Neodiprion lecontei: one gene and its partners. The protein of the gene in region 3 interacts with the protein of the main gene of each other region in a pairwise test. Links are inferred from orthologs where the notes say so. Each region holds a gene or a part of one and is shown on either strand. Other genes may lie near its edges.

Region 1 (4,634 bases), on a different chromosome or scaffold from region 3:
ATAGTTCATGGAATTGCAGCTGGAGGTTTGTATTTGTAATATTATATCTTAAATGGCCAACCGTTTTTTGCCATCAGTTCCGTGTGGGAAAATTCATTTTCCTCAACCGATAAAATTATTCACATTCCAGTAATGTCGTATGCTGAAATATTCGAACTCTCTGCTGTGCTGTACGTACTTTACGTGGAAGAGTTTCTACTCGATTCGGAGACAGCTATGCCCTTGGTGAAATTGTTTGCTGCCATTCCAGGTAGTCTATTACACGATCCAGTCTTCAAGCAGAGTAGTTTTAGCAGCAGAGGTAATTTGTACATGTAGATCATAATGTCGTTTGTGCCTTCTTTGATAAACTTTGTAATAAAAATTATTATTTCCGTACCTCATTTTCTTGTGATTCGAATAATTTTATACTTGCTTGGACTCTCAGAAGCGGGACATCTTGAGATTGGATTGAAGTTAGAGATTGTTGACATGTCAATATTTTGTTGGTACATATCTCACTTTTATTATCAATAATAGCAATTGATATTCCTGAATTTTTAATATGATATTGTACACTTTGTGAAAATGATCAACACCTTGGCGATTATTTTACATATGTATTTAATTGTAATTTACTGATTTATAGTATTTATAAAAAATTTCCATACAGCTGTATCCGAAGCGATTGAAAATCAAATGTATTTGATCTATTGTAAAGAAATGAAACTACTATTGATAAGAGATAATGGTCGACTGTAGTAGGAGAGACGGTTTTTCGTACCTGTCACTATTGCTTAAATTTAGCAATATCGCTTGCTTAATGCCACGCTTTTCTTCATCTATGATATCATTTAGTATATTCTTTTTACCTAGATATTGATTTATGAATCAATAATAAATTGCTAGCAATTTTTTACAAAATGAATTTCATGCATGACCGGAAAACGAGTACATAACAACATCAACATGGGATTCCGGTACAAAGTTCACAATTTGCATAAACCTAACCGTAATTCTACATCGTAAACCTAGGAATCGTCGGTCTGTTAGGGCGGGTAATAAGCTCTCTGTGTCGTAGATGGTGGTGCTGGGTTCCCAGGTTGAAAATATGTTGTCGCTGCAGGGTATGGAAAGGGTTGGAACGTGGGTGGAGCGAGAGCTGGTGCTGACGGTCGAATTGCACCTGATGAATTGAAGGGATGCATAGCCGAAACGATGTGATTAATCGTCGTGACGGACGGCGGTGGAACGGAAATATTTGTCGGCGGGAATACAGGGGGATAGGCCGTCGAAGATGGTGTAAAAGTAGCGGGGTACGGAGGAAAGTGAGCCGGTATTTCAACTGGCTTTGAACCATCGGTAGCATCCGCGTTTGAGGAGCCGTTTACGGTACTGGAGGTAACTTCAATTTTTGAAATTTTATTCGGTGTTGCTGTAAATAAGATAATTATTAACAAACGTTTGACAAATTTTCTTTCATTTGAAATAGTATTGAACAATAGCTTTGCCGTGTAAGATTTAATATTCGGTTTGTTCGAAAATTATAATTGAATGATAAAATATGTTAGGATATACCTGGAGCACTAGCGGCAACGTCGTTAGCAGTGGGTATTGTGGCCCATTCTCTATTTCCTTCATGAGTCGACACAAGCGGCGGAGAATCCGGTGCCTTCGCATTGTTTGCTTGCGAGTATAGGTCTAAAACTTGATGGCAAATATCTGTAATTGACAAGATTGATTTTAAGCAAACATGTTGGAGCCTGTAACAGTTGTTATGTTATGGATGTTTGCAGTTATAGACCTATACTACAATCATCTTCGAACCTTCAAGTAAATCCATGGTCACGTCTTCGACGAACATGTCCCACCATCTGAGATGCTTCGGGAGCCTTCCGTTCCAGTCGACAACTTCGAATTTGCTCAATTTACCAGCAAGGTACATGAGAGCAACGGCTATGATTTCCGGTTCCCATTGCAAGGAGAGTGTAGTACAGAGGCTGTAACGGTAAAGTGCAAGAAAATATGTTAAAGCTAAATAATCAATTAATATGAAAGTTTTCAGGAAAAATTAAAGTGAAAATTGTTGAAGTTACACCTGTCATTTACAAACGTCCACGCCATTTGCACCATTTTTTGTAGTTTGTTCTTATCACCTGAAAAGTCGAGAAGAATAATAGCTGTGATTAGATAGCGATAAAAATTTTATATCGATATCGCATGTAGAAAACACGTGCCTTTCAGACACTTTGCATATTTCAATAGGTAGCTATACGGGTGTTCGACTTGCAAGTCGAATTTAATTGTTTGTAAAAGAATCCTTTCCAGTGTCATCACTTCCTCCTGCAAATACAATAAAAATAAATGTTGGTAAAGTTTCAAAATAACAAATTGAATAAATTGCCATCTACAAATCAATTCAAGGCTTGAAAATCACGCACCTTTGGATCTTCTCCAAAAGTCAGAAACTTTTGATCGCTAAGTAACGTCTTAGCAGTTTTTATAATGTCTTTGCATTTTTTAGGTGTTTCTTCAACCTTTCCGGCAAGAAATAAGCAACAACAGGCTGTGACCTGTGTAAGATAATGAAGAATTAAATATGAATCTGTGCATAGAGTAAATCTAAATCTAAAGCAGTTTGAATATGCACTTACATATCTAGGAAAATTCTTAAACGAGTGAAACATGTAGAATCTGTGAAAGTACACAACACCGGTCGCCATAGTGTTATATCCAAGGTCCATCTTCGTTCCAGTGTCAATAATGAACCTAGCGCCTTCCTTGCGGTATCGACACTCTGTCTCGTAGTCGATACCATCCTGAATCGATGGTGTATTGCGGAGCTCTTTTTTCTCGTAGTACCAGCACGGCATTTTGAATGTCTATATAAGTTTATAAAGATATTTTCTTTGTGTTCATTCAAGAAAACTTTGAACGAAATTACACTTATCAAAGTTTGACTGACTGCCCTTTAATACTTAGTTAAAGATTTCGGACTGTTTGAGAATATTTTCAAAATATATTTGAATGCGATTCACTTGCGAAACATGATTACCGAAGGCTAATGGGTTTCAGATTCTGAACACATACGGGTTAAGTCAGGCTTTGCGCCTATCTTGCAGGTTAGAATAGTTCACCATAATCAGAACAATCACATTTTGAATTTTTTAATCAATATCAGCAAAAGTATTTATTGGCTATTCTTCGTAAATTCTGTGCTTCAAAATTACGCGTTAAACTAACATATACACTCATTATTTGAACCACTTAACGCGAACAATTGTAAATAGTGGAAAATAAACTACTTACGCTGGAACCACAATTCTAAATAGAACTATAGAAGCGTATCTGCAGTCCTCCGAGGTGGGGGACAAGTTTTCCTGTAGGCAGCGCCACTCACCTTGCCATGGTTGCAATCGGTACTAACGAGACTAATAGGGAATTGGTAGCGGCAAAATCGAATTTAGAGTAAGGAATACTTTTTCACGTATTATAAAATTATTACTAAAAGGTGGGTGATTAAATAGATGATTCAATTAGACTAGTTTATATTTGATGTCTTACACATAATATGTTTGCGCTAAGTTCGCTAAAACTCGGGTGTTGAGCACGATGTTTCCATGTAAGAAATACATCTCTTACATTTTTTGGAAACCTATGCCGTACAGATGTTACGGTAGAACAATTTAATACATAGCAGTTTGCTTTTCTGGACATATTTGCTTACAAACACTTTAAACCACTTTATATCAAAGCTATAAGAGCGAACGCCATGAATCAACTGGTAGTTGTGAAATGTAACAAAATATAAGATGGCGGTGGCATTACCAGTCTACTACGAATTGGCCGCGACCACGGTCTTGCCCCTATACAATATTATCACGAAGCGTTGACTGAGGATATTTTCAGCACTGATCTCTGCCTATAGTAGAGATCAGTGATTTTCAGTCAACGTTCTAGTATTGGCTGGCATTGAAGGTTTTCGGTGCAGCCGCCGTGTAAAGTCATAGACTTATAAAGATAGACTGAGCGCTCTTATGAGCTGCTTGAATCAAACATTTAAAGGACAGAAATATGCCGGGAGTACTCCTTTTCTCTCCCTGACGATATTTGTGGCGCGGATCGAGGCGGTAGAGGGGATGAGGTGAAATTATGCGCCTGTATCTATAGCTGTTCCACTTCCACTGTTCCGTTGTCTCCCACCATGACGCCGATTGAAAAGAAAGAGCAGTCCTCCCGGTATATCTCTGTCCTTTATATGTAATTGTCAGTGCCTCGTACAGGAGCGCTTAGTCTATCTTTATAATTCTATGTGTAGAGTGCAGTACTATCCCAGAGATATAAACTTAGATGAGAGAGCCAACCTTGTGAGGAATTTGTGGTGATAGAAGGAACAAAAATCTATTTACCGACACGTGTGAGGATATGGTCAGTATGCTTTCTGTAATACCAGCATAGTTAGCAAAAAAATTTTCAACCGCAGATCGATACAAACTGTTGTTATTGTTTATTTTCGATGGGTGCATCTAACAATATGCGGCGTAGATTTGTTTTGAAAAATTGATTCAAAAAAAAAAAAAAAAAATAGCAAAGAGATTATCAAAAACCGCTTTAACTTTGGTCCGACTGAAACTTCCTTTTTCCGGATCGCATGA
Region 2 (4,610 bases), on a different chromosome or scaffold from region 3:
TTGAAGTAAAATGCGTATTTTTTTTTTATGTAACTAACTTCTTACAGAAATGCAATTACATTTCACTGATTCTTTACTCCGAAAATAAAAGGCTCACCTATTGCTAAATCCACAAGTAACTAGATAATTTCCTTGTACATCAAAATCGCTCAGGGAGCCACTGTGGGTGTCTAAAGTGTGTTCTATCGACAGAGTATTTGGATCCCGAAGGTCTATTCTCCCAGCAGGATTGCCTGCGCATATAAGACGGCTGTGCTGTCTCAATATTGCACAACCGTGATCGCCGACGTGTACCTAAAAACCAAAGTGTAGTTTCGCGTTATTCAATTTTTCTACCGAAGTAAGAGACATAGTCAATATCGGATAGTTTTAAAGCTTCACACGCTACGAAAATGCATACTTGTCGAGTATAAAGCCACTATGCCTATTAAACGTCTGACAAAAATTTCCTTACCAGGCCAGTTTCTTTCCCTCTGGTGAGATTGAAATCAATAATTTTTTTTTGATGACCTCCCATAAGTAGTCTCGCAGGTGATGTTTGAAGCATGCATTGCATGTCTATCATGTTTGAGGACCTGTTATACGATTACATTTCGAATGAAAAATGTGATCAGACTGAAGAATGCCGAAATGCTGCTCAAAGGATTGTAGTAAAGTAAACGTACGTGTGAGTAAATATCGGTATGCCACGCCGTAGCTGACAACGAAGCATACTTTGCGTGAGCACAAGGATTCCTTCGTCAATCGGATGGATATGTCGGACTTCTTGTGAGGCATGCACTTGAAACGACGTGTATTTCTGGAGGCCAGGCCCATAGTAAGACGTCACGTGACCCTTGATAAGTAATTGAAAATACATGTTAATATTATTTTTCTCTTCATGGAAATTCAATCGGATATTGGTGTAAGATCTGCGTTTTATTGCGGCAGAATAGATTGGTTCAGACTGATTTGTACCCCTTGATTTCCCATCCACATGAGTTCTTCGGCATTGTCAAAGGTGAGGGTGGAAACACCGAATCTATCACCTCCATCGGCCAATAAGGTTCTAGTCTCTTGGAATTCCGCACCTGCAAATTCCTCGCCAAACTGTTCTGCCGCAGGCACAAACCCCTCGCTTGATAAGTCATAGTTTGATTCTTCCCCTGCAATTTCAGTTTACAGTTATTGGCAAAGATCAAAATAGAGGAAATTCTTCTAAATTTTATTAAGTAACAAGATGATTCTAAATGAAAGTAATGAATCTGATTCATCATTGTTTGTTAACAATAATTCTAGCCATCAGTGAAATTCTTTATCTGTGGTTTAATGTTGTGGTAAGAATTATCCTGTAAAGATAAGTGAACCTCAAAGCGAATGGTATTGTCATTTTTAACTTACTAACGATCAAAAAATCCTTTCTCTTTAATGGAAAAAAACACACTGTAAAACGGCATGCAGTAATTTACATAAATCACTCTCACAAAAGAACAAAGAATAAAAAATACAGAAATTGAACGGAAGAGATATCGTGCAGTACGCTTTTACGTCTACGATACTTGTTACAATAAGGGAATTGTTATCTTTGTAATACGTGTATATTATATGCATGCAATTAATTGAAATTTATAACAGTCAATACCAGGGCCTATTACAATACAGTATCTAAACCGAGAAATGTCTCTCAAATGTAAGTTGTACAAGCTGGTCAATTAAGCGCTAGATCTTAACATCGAATAAGATAATGAATAACAGTGAAAAGTTCCAAGGCTGAAGTTAGTAACGTTACTGTATCGGAAAGTTGAAACAAAAAATAACTGTTTTGTATCTTTAGAATGACTGTAGAAGTTGAATTTACGAAATCTGAGTTTGTTCATGCTTTACTAACAGTTACTTGAATTTCTAATCCTCTAAAGTTGAAAAATAACAAGGTTTTCTGAAGATGCATAATTACAATACCGTTACAAACTTCAGTCTGATGAAAAGATACGTTACAGATTCAAATTTCGAAATCAAACGGTCCAAAACCAAATTTTCGAAATATGATTGCACCAATAAGATGGGAGCAAGAGAAAACGCAATTTACTCTAAGAATTAAAGGTACAGTTTATTCATTGACATAATTGCTCCAGCTAGACTGCATTTTGAGGTTATTGTGAGATACTGAGATGGTCAGATGGTCGAACATCCGGGGGTAGAAAAAAGAAAGCCGGAGCGCGTACGTGACACAGTCAAAGCTGAGTGAAGTTAGCGAATAAAACAAATGAATAGCTGATCAGGTGACCGCTGTCATCGCTTCGTCGAGTGAGGAAAATTTCAACCTCGGTATAAATGTAGAAAAATTTGGTATCTTGTCTCTAATTTGTGGAGTGGAGTGGATGTAACGGAGAGCGGCATGCTGAGGCTAATTGGGTGATAGAAATCGGGGAAGCGGAGAGTGGATGTTGTCGTTGGAATCGTGCGTGCGGATCTACGTCTGTCAAAACAACGCGTCATTGGCGCGTAACTCACAGATCAGCTCCTGGTCGCCCGCCACGACCTCAACGGAAGGATCGTAGTGGCCAAGAACCGAATAGTCCATTATAGCGATCCTCGGTTCGGCCGCGTTCTAGGTTCTATCATGGGGATATCTCCCCGTTTGGCAAGCGTGTTCGTCGCAATGGCTAACGAATCAGTAGCACATTTCGGTGTTGACGGTGCACGCACTTAAATATATTCAATAGACCACCATCGGTGGTCAGTCGCCTTGGCAACTGTGCAACAAACGAGCGACCTACTTCCGGTAATAATTTCTAAACGAGAATAGTTAAAATACGGTACTGATCATGGTCTTGCTTACAGTTTATCCACGACATTGCACATCTTTCGTTTGTTTTTGACCTCGTTAGCGCACGTCACTCTCATTTATTTAACAATCTCTTTTCTCCTACTTCGGACCACTTTACGCGCGACGTTTGTTTCCCTCTTCACCGTTGGTTCTTCTCGTTCAGCTTCATCGCTACAAACACCTTTTCTGCGCCTTCATTTCACCTACAGAAACACCAACGGCAACGCCAACCGACTTCAGGCAGTTCAGCCTTGTACGTGGCGTCACCTAGCTTCGACTTCTCGACTCACGCGCGATCGAACTGCGCCTGCGTCGGTTGGATTTCTTATTTACTTCGGTGCTTCAAGTTGTCGATGTTTGTTCAGCACGCGTCGAGGGACAATATTTACTTTCATATGTAGCCACGGGACGATAGGTAAATAACAGAAAGTAGATCTTACGCGAAAATATATTACGCGTACTTCCTCATACGATTCTCATCGTCTGTTATAAGCAGGCCCACGTACTTATTTCACGTAGCTTTGCTTCTTAAGCGTTTCTTTGCTCCTAAACATCTGCAACGCGAGCAACAACGTGTAGCGCCTAACGTCAGGTTGTACAGAAGGAGACCTTGTTTTGTTTCAAGCTGATGCATGAAATCGCTGTCGTTATTTCGTCAAAACACACACTCATAAATGGTCTTGACTAGTCGCCGTTAGATCAACAATGGAAACCGAAAAATCTCGTTCTGATGTGAGTAGAATAAATCGTAAGGTGATTGTTTGTATTTAAGGAAAATCTTGTCTTTTAGAACGGGTACAACCAGTTGCTTTCGGGAATGAAAAAAAAACATGTATCTATACAGCTCAATACAAACAATTGTTATCTTGCATTTCACGATTATTGGATAATTAGAGTCTTCTTTAATTCCGTGCTTGATAAAATACATTCATGTAATATATTATTCGTTTATGAGCATGTATACATTTAAGAAAATTACAGTTGGAAACATTTGATCATATTGAAGTTGGTAACGTTATCGTATGGGTTCATGATGAGAAAAAACGGTTATTTAGCGATATTGAAGTTGTCTGCAATTCATCGAACCGTAATAAAACAAAACATTCTCAAATTTCGACATCTTAGTTCCTTCAAAATAACTCTAAAATAAGGAAAATTGTGATGCTTCCCTAATGTTTTGTTACGATAACATTACTAACTTCAACCTCGTAATATTTGCTGGCTGTAGTCACCAGGGCATTCGGACTGCATCACATTGACTTTTCGTTGTGATTACAACAATATACGTACGCACAATGGTTAGAGCATAGTGTCGCAGGTTGCGTAAAAAGCGTTTTGGACATTTGCATGTGCAGAAGAATCGTTACTAGTACCTGCATTGGTGAAATTCATCATCGTTATAACCGTGAAATAGCTTCGTACATACGTCGAGTTAGAGTATACTTCTATGTAGAAATATAATATGTCTACAGATATTTTTATATTATACAGTAAATATCGAGTGTTGGAAACTTAGAGTACTCATAAAATACATTTTCACATCGATATAATATATACTACATTACTCATTACAGATTCGAGATTTGGTCACTCTCTCCATCTGTATCTGGACCTCATCAGTATCACTCTTTGCGAGATCCTCTTTTCATCCGGATTTCGAACACAGGCCTGTTCGTATTCAAAATCTCTTGGGACTGACCATCTTCGCTATAATACGAGTATACCATTCCCGTATCAGCTGCCAACTCCTACAGTCGAGTGAGTAATAAACTTATTTGTGGATAGTTCGCTTTAAAGGCAAGCG
Region 3 (7,298 bases):
GTGCGAGCCTGTCCGCAAGGGTGGGAGGGAGGTAATGCACTACATGCGGCTACAACGTTACATCTACCTATTTATGCACGCGTACGTTGTACGTATGTACGTATTTTATTACGTACATACATAGATATAGAGGAGAACAAGGCGGCGGAAGTAACTGAGGAGACAATAATTCGCTGTCACCGGGCTGCCGGAGGAGTATTCAAATGATTAATATCCAACCGCCCCGCTCCGACGTGATTCCATTCTTACCGGCAATCGATATTGCAGATCGTAGTTGTTATCGGCTCAAAACGAGGGGAGGGGGATAATTTATTCACCATGTTCCCATGGTAGGGTCGGAATCGGGTTAGGCTCAAATTACAGCTAATGAAAAACGAGATTTCGGATGTGGGAAATTATTTTCTTTCTCTCAAATCTCGTTTCTTTTCGACTGTAATTTGAACCTAGCCCGACTCTGACCCTACGATGGAAACATGGACATTGTTCGAACAATGAAAACTTGCGAAAAAAGTAACAAGACGTGCGTTTAAGATTGCTTTCAAAAATAAACATTTATTTCAAAATTAATGCTTACCAGCTGTATCCTAAAACCTATGATCTCTATCCTATACACAGGCTGTGTTGAGCCTCCGTGTATTAGGTTGTAGTAGTATCATTTTAAGATTTTAGCGCATGATTAAGTTCTGTGTGTTTGTGTGTACATACGTATATGTAGCAACATAGCGGATTTCATTGAATGTTGAAATATGTACTATTATTTCGATTTTTACATCATTTAATGATTTTCTTCTGTACCTATTTTATATTCAAATTAACGCATCATCAATCGATGCGTTCCTTTGGGCCGTTATTCTTCGTCGTCTCCACCTCCTTTTATTCCTTCATCCCTTTCCTTATATTGTTATTTTCTTATTTCGTTTTTAATCTCAAAAACACATCAAAAAGCTCACTCCACGCGTCACCATCCGCTTCGACTTGTCCGGAACTTCCAAATCCATGTCCACAACTCTGGATCATCCTCGATCCTGAGTAATGTAGAAATTGTAGTAGCGCTAACTGTTGATATCACAATGATGGTTCGGAGTATATGCTGTTGTGCCGCTGTTGGACTCAATGCTTTTTTTATTGCCTAGGCGGCGTCCAGCTTCGCAGAATGCACAACCTCGGCGTATGACATTTCCAAACACTGTCGCAACTCGGCGTAACTAACGACCAACACGCTTTGCTCATCCCGCGACATCAGGCAAATCTAAACAGGAAATATCGAGGATCGATTGAAGTGACGTATTGATCAATGTTTGAAATTTCTTCGCAATGCCAACCGTTTATCTATTTCTGAATCTAACACTCTAATCACTCGAATCTAAATACTCACCTTGTCGTGAGATCCAGAGTCGAGTTTGTTCAGACAAGATACAACGTGGGCCATGTCCAACCACGGTCTTCCATCCGCCGCTACTTGGTGGAACACGTAGTCTCTGAACAGTTTCAGCATGTAACGATCGCCGGTTTCAGCCCACGTTGGCTCCATGTTCAGCTCTGGCCGTTCGTTGATGGTCGCCAGTTTTGCGAGTAGTCTGAACAGTCTGCCGTTTTCTAGCTCTTTGGCAAGTTCATCTTCCAGAACGTCTGAACGAAGATGGACGGCGTCGAGTTGAGTATAAAACCGAGCTCCAATCATTGGCATTAAATCAGTGACGCTTCTCCGCTGCTGAGAAGATAGCAGGTACCTGAAATGACGAATTTCTTTATCGTAACTGGAGCGAGAGTAAACTACTCAATAAAGTTAGACAAAACGTATTCAGGTCAAGAGAATAGGCAAAAATGTCAGAATGGAATATAAATACGTACAATATAAGGTTTCTGAGATCAGACGAGTAGGTGCGAGCGACCAGTTCCAGGGAGGCCTGCATGTTGTCACGATGCACCGCTAGGAGACTACGGCAAGCCAAAGCTAGCACAAGTTTTCCTAATGCGAGCAAGTCTTCTTGTTGATAATGCGGCATTAGTGCCAACGGATTCGCAGCTGTACCGTCAAACGTCACAACGTCGGGAATCGCGACGCAGCTGAGACGCAGCCGACTTCGTGACGAGAGAATTATCTTTGTAGGGTCCAGAGATCTACACGCAATACCTGAAGAAAATTTTTAAACTAACGATAATATAATAAAAACTTCGAATTTATTCGCAATTTACTTCTTTCTATTGTAACTTTGCGATTGTAGAGCCATATGAAATCTGCTCACTGTTACTATAAGTCTGAATAATGTTCAAAAAATGAAATAATCACTTACCAGCTGCGTGAATAACCCGGAGAGCAGCTGTCAGCTGTATAATGTAGTTCCAAATAACGCTTTCTGGCAGCATACTGCTGTGCTGTTGTCTCAATATGGTGTTCTTTGTGTGGCTGTAAGGACGGGGAGCGTTGGGGTCGGACGAAAACGGATCTGAGTAGCCGTTGAGCTCGGTAGCAGAGAAGTGTTTGTTCAAGAGCGTCTCGGACCCAGGGTGGTAGTCATAGACGAATACCATGGCTGAAATAGTCCTAATTTAGTGAAATGAAAAAAGATTAATATGAAAAAGCTGGGAGAAAAATATTTGGGTACATACAATGATCACCAAAGGTCTTGGTGGTGAAGACTTCTCGCAGTTGGACCAAATTAGTGTGCGTCAACCGCTTCCACATATCGACCAAGACCATACATTTTGTATTGGCAAGTCTAAAGTCTGAAATGAATAATTCTCAGTTACAGTAAGATTGCTCGTGTACAATAACGCTTACCATCCAACCAGAGCAATAAATATGCTTCACGACTCACCGTGTACTCGGCGCAGGCAATAGCGAGTCCCGGTTTTTAAACTGGTCGCTTTGTACGTGGAGGTTTGATAGCCGAGGACAGTCGATGTGGATTTATGGATGGGTTCGAGAGGGCATAATTCATGGTAGTTATCTACTTCGTTTGGCAAATCTGGAAACTGCACCGGGTCTGGCTGAGCTAACGTTAGTGCATTTTTTTGGAGAATGTCCAGTCGCAGGCCTTCGCTGACAAAAAAACTCGGAACGGCCTGTGGAGGGGGCGTCGAAGGAGCCGAGGGACTACTCGATGCGGGAGATTTTGCTGCTTTGGCAGTCTGCAGGTGAGAGGGGGTCCCTGGATAAACGTATCCTATCTGACTTGCGCCAGCGGTTCCAATCTAGAAGAAATACTTCTCGTTACGATTTCTGTGTAGTCGCTTTACCGGAACACAAAAGTTTCAAAATATACTACGGTTACTAAATACAAACTTTTTCGCCTCATTAGTGGTTGATTCTCGTTTACGTGAGTTAAAATTTATCCTAAGGAGGCGAAATTCAAATCTCTGTCTGGTGAACTTACAGCTTCGACTCCTTCTTCGCTTGACACATTTTCCGTTGTCGACGTCCCGAGGTAGAAATAAGTTGTTCCTCCGACATTCTCCTGGGAATGATAGGAGCTGTTGAATATATTTGGCGAGCTACTATTGCTACCTGCAATTCCTCGTCCCGGCACAAATTCCGGACTGGTAGTAGTTTTTTTTTGTGCATCCAGTGAAAGGCCGGAGAGATGTTTTGTCACTACAGCTGTGTTTAGGGCAACTCCAGAGCTTTGGCAGTTCTAGATTCATAAAACGTCACGATTATTAAGTGTGAAAATTATTACCTATAACTCGATGTTATAAATATTTTCTAAAGGCAAAATTACTGTGTAAAAATCAATGGAAAAACAGTACAATTAACGGAAAATCTTGATCGATTAGCACTATGTTACAATTTAGGATGTTATCTTTTCAGAGTTCAAGGTGAAAATTAACTAGACCTTCTTAATTTTAGTTTGCGAGTGCGACTCCTCATTTTTATACGAAAATAATGAAATCTGTTTGTTACCATGTAGGTTGCAAGTTTGGACTCCTGTGGGACTCCATTTGTTTGAGGGGTGTAAGTGACAAACATTGACGGATCCATCTCTCTTCCATCCACCGCATTGACCACCGTTCCGTTTTCCGTTAGATTTTTCGATCCTCCCGCCTTCGTGCTTTTGAAGTCCTCGTTGTTAAAAATTTCGCAGCTGCCAGAGCTGTTCTTTCTTTCTTTATCTTCCGTTGTCACTAGAGAGAGAATTTCCAAGACTTCCAACGTTAAGCTAGCCTGCCTATGCTGGAAAGAATCTCAACATTTTAAAATCATTGCCGAATAGCATTTCCTCCATATTTTAACAAGTTGCATAAATTACACTAGCTTGTTTGTATTCAATGATAATTTTAATATTCTTTTTTTTCTTTCTTTCTCCTCAAAATTTTACTAACAAAGTTCTTTATCGACACGGTTTTACTGCCTTTCGACGGACGTCGCATTTTCACCTCGCGTAGGCAGGCAACTTCGTCTCTAGACAATTGAAGCTGCGTCGAAGAATATCTTTCGCTTCATTTAACACACTGGAAAATTGCTTCTGTTTATTATCACCTAAGTTATTTAATCTCATATCCAGTCTTTCTTTTACTCCATTTTTCTAAAATTTCTCAGGATAATTTCAAGTTTCTCTTTTCGTTTTTTTTTTGTTCTTTTTTTTTATTTTTTATTTTTTTATTCTTTAACAGTGCTGCTTCTATTTTTTTCCAATATGTTCGACTTGTAAACCCTGAAAATGAACGGTGATCATTAGAACAAGTTTGTCTACTTTGTGACTTAATTAATCGTTGAATAAAAAAAACCAAACGAATCTGTTCAGAACGGTGCAGAAAGAGAAATATAAAAACATGCAAATTTGTTTTATATTCAGTAATTGTTGCGCGTAAAGGTGAGACGATTAAAGGTACAGTAGTAGAACCTGTGTTATCGAAAACATCGATGCTTGAATTTAACATAAGGCAACAGTGAAAGTTGATGGTTTTCCTGAAAATAGAATATCGTTCAGGGTAGAAAAAGCATTAATAAATGGAATTTGTATTCTATTGAAGTTAAGGAAAAGTAAGAAAAAAGAATATAAATCACAGAACTTTTGAACCTAGTGTGTAATTCTAGCCTTCGCTATATCAGACTAGAGACAACAACATGGAGAATATGTACACAAGTGTGTGATATACTTGTTGCCTCTAAAAATTGAGGGGGGTCAAGAAAATGCAGCAGGATTTGATTCGAACAATGTAGTAATAAACTAACAATGAAGCAGCTGATTTTGACAATGCACACACAGAATCGCGACAAAAGTGGTTAATTTTGGTTTTCAACAACGTTAAAAAAAAGTTCGTCTTTTTACGAAAAAAAATTGTAAAAGTTTAAACATAACTGAGCACCTCAAAAACGCGACGCGAGGCGAAAATTTTTTCCAAAATGTAGAACCGAAGTCTATAAAAACATCGAAGATATGGTGGACCAACATAACCCATCCGAGTTGTCAGTGACGTCGCGTCTGAGGACGGCGCGAAAATAAAACAGACGCTCCAGACGCTTTGCGACGGACGGCGTTTGGGTTATTAAAAAAAACAAATAAATGAGATTCTTTCAAGCTTAGATTAATATACTTTAGTACTGACCGTTCAAAACATTTTTCCTTCCCGCAGACAAAGGTGAAAGCGTACTCCGTGATACCGATCTCACTGTGTTTTTATGCTACACTTGTCTACACTCACGGACAACTTGCTGCTCTTACTTCGATCGCAGCTGTCCTTCCGGAAGTCGTGCTTCGCATACGTATATACTTTATTTTTCGAAATACAATTTAGACCTCGGCCATTTCCGGTATCTTTTATCAAATTTTATATTCAACCACGAGCTTGTCGATCGTTATTTTTCATTTTGGAAATTTAAAATCGAACGAATCATCGTTTTTGATTGCGTGGAGCTGATAAATCGTTGCATTTATCGCCTATTATTCGCATTGACGAGTCTCGGAACACATCGAGTAATGACGTTTTTTCGTCGAGTGGCCAACGAAAATAGCAACATAAATCAAAAAAGCGCTACAAATATATATTTGGTTGAAGTTTGGCGCATTTTTTTGTTATAAATTTGATCCAAACTGCATTTAGCGATCGGATTGAGTAACGTAGTGGTGAAATCCAATGACGCTTGGACCCAACCGAGTTCCATTGATGAAGAAGGTTCTTTTTTTTTTAAGTGGGTGGCATTGATCAATTATTTACCTTTTTTAAGTTGGCGACCACTGCTCGCTCGCGACCATGTATCATGAACGCAGCCATGTTCACGCGGTTTTACAAATCAGCGCCAACCGCCAATTCACGAATGAGTGTTTGTCTCTTTCTTCAGTGATTGTTGAATTTGACCTTCTGAGTTTAGTTTAAATAGCGCAAGGATGACTGAAGGTAGGTCTGCGTATGCGTCTAACTTATTCTACATTAATTACTGGAACTCTTCTCCCGGTTGTAACGTGACATAACCTAGTTTTACCCAACTTCATCACCGGTACAAATGCAACAACGTTTATGATCAATTGTCTGTCAAAATACGTGGTTGTATTTACCTTCATATTTTGTATGCTTGTTCAGTGATACAATTCACGTTTCGGTTGATAATTCGTTTTAGCGTGAATTTGAATTTTCCTAGGTTAAGTTTTGTCACATCGACACCATTTACTATTACAGAAAAGACAAGTACGGAGGACATGTGGACTCCTTACAAGGAACTCCAGAGTCTCGTCGATCAATATATTACCTCTGCACCCAGTTCCCACGATCCACAATACCATGAATTTATGGAAGCGCTTCGCAATCACCGACAGAATTTTCTAAATCTCCTAAGCAATCCTGTAAGCATAATATTTCAACATGTAGTAGCTGCGACTTGGAGACCTTGATTGCCATGTGCTAAGTTTATCATATCCTCATTCTAGGCAAAGAATGCAAAGAGTCGTGAGGAAATTAAAAATGCAGTGACGGAGGGTATAACTCTGCCTGGACTAGGTCACCAGGTTTTGTCCAAAGAATTGGTTGACGAGACAATTATATTATCCGACATGTACGAACTAAATGAATTTATGGCTCTTGACTTACTCTGTACTGCTCAACTTCAAATGCCGCATCATCCTGGATTGACACGAGGCCTAACTGCTGTCCTTCTGTACTATGACGGGAAGAAAGCTCTCACCTCAACATTGAGGACTTTGGTTCAAGCCAGAAATGGTCATACTTGGGTTCTCGACACACCCGTTACGCTTACCAAGCAAATTACGGAGTATACCAACAAAATGCAGGAAGACGGCCTGCTGGACAGGATCCTGAACCTTTTGGAGGATATGGATCCGACGAAGGTAAAAAATTTGTAT

The links.
Region 1: the proteins of PAN2-PAN3 deadenylation complex subunit PAN3 (region 3) and cyclin-K interact in a two-hybrid assay, tested with the Drosophila melanogaster proteins (3 studies listed by BioGRID). The link is inferred for Neodiprion lecontei from reciprocal best matches to the Drosophila melanogaster genes PAN3 and CycK.
Region 2: the proteins of PAN2-PAN3 deadenylation complex subunit PAN3 (region 3) and PAN2-PAN3 deadenylation complex catalytic subunit PAN2 interact in binary tests that used the Drosophila melanogaster proteins (3 or more experiments, as listed by UniProt). The link is inferred for Neodiprion lecontei from reciprocal best matches to the Drosophila melanogaster genes PAN3 and PAN2.

Annotation. Positions count from the first base shown.
Region 1 is NC_060264.1:32,146,060-32,150,693, reverse strand, and holds cyclin-K, read right to left. Parts: upstream 2,853-4,634; coding exon 2,634-2,852; intron 2,553-2,633; coding exon 2,421-2,552; intron 2,323-2,420; coding exon 2,217-2,322; intron 2,136-2,216; coding exon 2,078-2,135; intron 1,980-2,077; coding exon 1,807-1,979; coding exon of another isoform or gene 1,776-1,806; intron 1,702-1,775; coding exon 1,558-1,701; intron 1,415-1,557; coding exon 1,029-1,414; 3' UTR 523-1,028; downstream 1-522. Other genes in the region: uncharacterized protein LOC107217142, read left to right, coding at 1-25, 131-301, 1,776-1,816.
Region 2 is NC_060263.1:1,323,210-1,327,819, forward strand, and holds the start of PAN2-PAN3 deadenylation complex catalytic subunit PAN2, read right to left. Parts: upstream 3,023-4,610; 5' UTR 2,835-3,022; coding exon of another isoform or gene 2,819-2,834; 5' UTR 2,561-2,818; coding exon 2,491-2,560; intron 1,146-2,490; coding exon 958-1,145; intron 836-957; coding exon 666-835; intron 576-665; coding exon 455-575; intron 295-454; coding exon 98-294; intron 1-97. UniProt on the Drosophila melanogaster protein: Catalytic subunit of the poly(A)-nuclease (PAN) deadenylation complex, one of two cytoplasmic mRNA deadenylases involved in general and miRNA-mediated mRNA turnover.
Region 3 is NC_060261.1:2,744,305-2,751,602, forward strand, and holds PAN2-PAN3 deadenylation complex subunit PAN3, read right to left. Parts: upstream 5,509-7,298; 5' UTR 5,404-5,508; coding exon 5,311-5,403; intron 4,656-5,310; exon of another isoform or gene 4,372-4,655; coding exon of another isoform or gene 4,324-4,371; intron 4,175-4,323; coding exon 3,905-4,174; intron 3,636-3,904; coding exon 3,378-3,635; intron 3,196-3,377; coding exon 2,820-3,195; intron 2,728-2,819; coding exon 2,611-2,727; intron 2,535-2,610; coding exon 2,295-2,534; intron 2,135-2,294; coding exon 1,852-2,134; intron 1,731-1,851; coding exon 1,376-1,730; intron 1,250-1,375; coding exon 1,130-1,249; 3' UTR 526-1,129; downstream 1-525. Other genes in the region: nuclear pore complex protein Nup205, read left to right, coding at 6,330-6,339, 6,619-6,782, 6,867-7,283. UniProt on the Drosophila melanogaster protein: Regulatory subunit of the poly(A)-nuclease (PAN) deadenylation complex, one of two cytoplasmic mRNA deadenylases involved in general and miRNA-mediated mRNA turnover.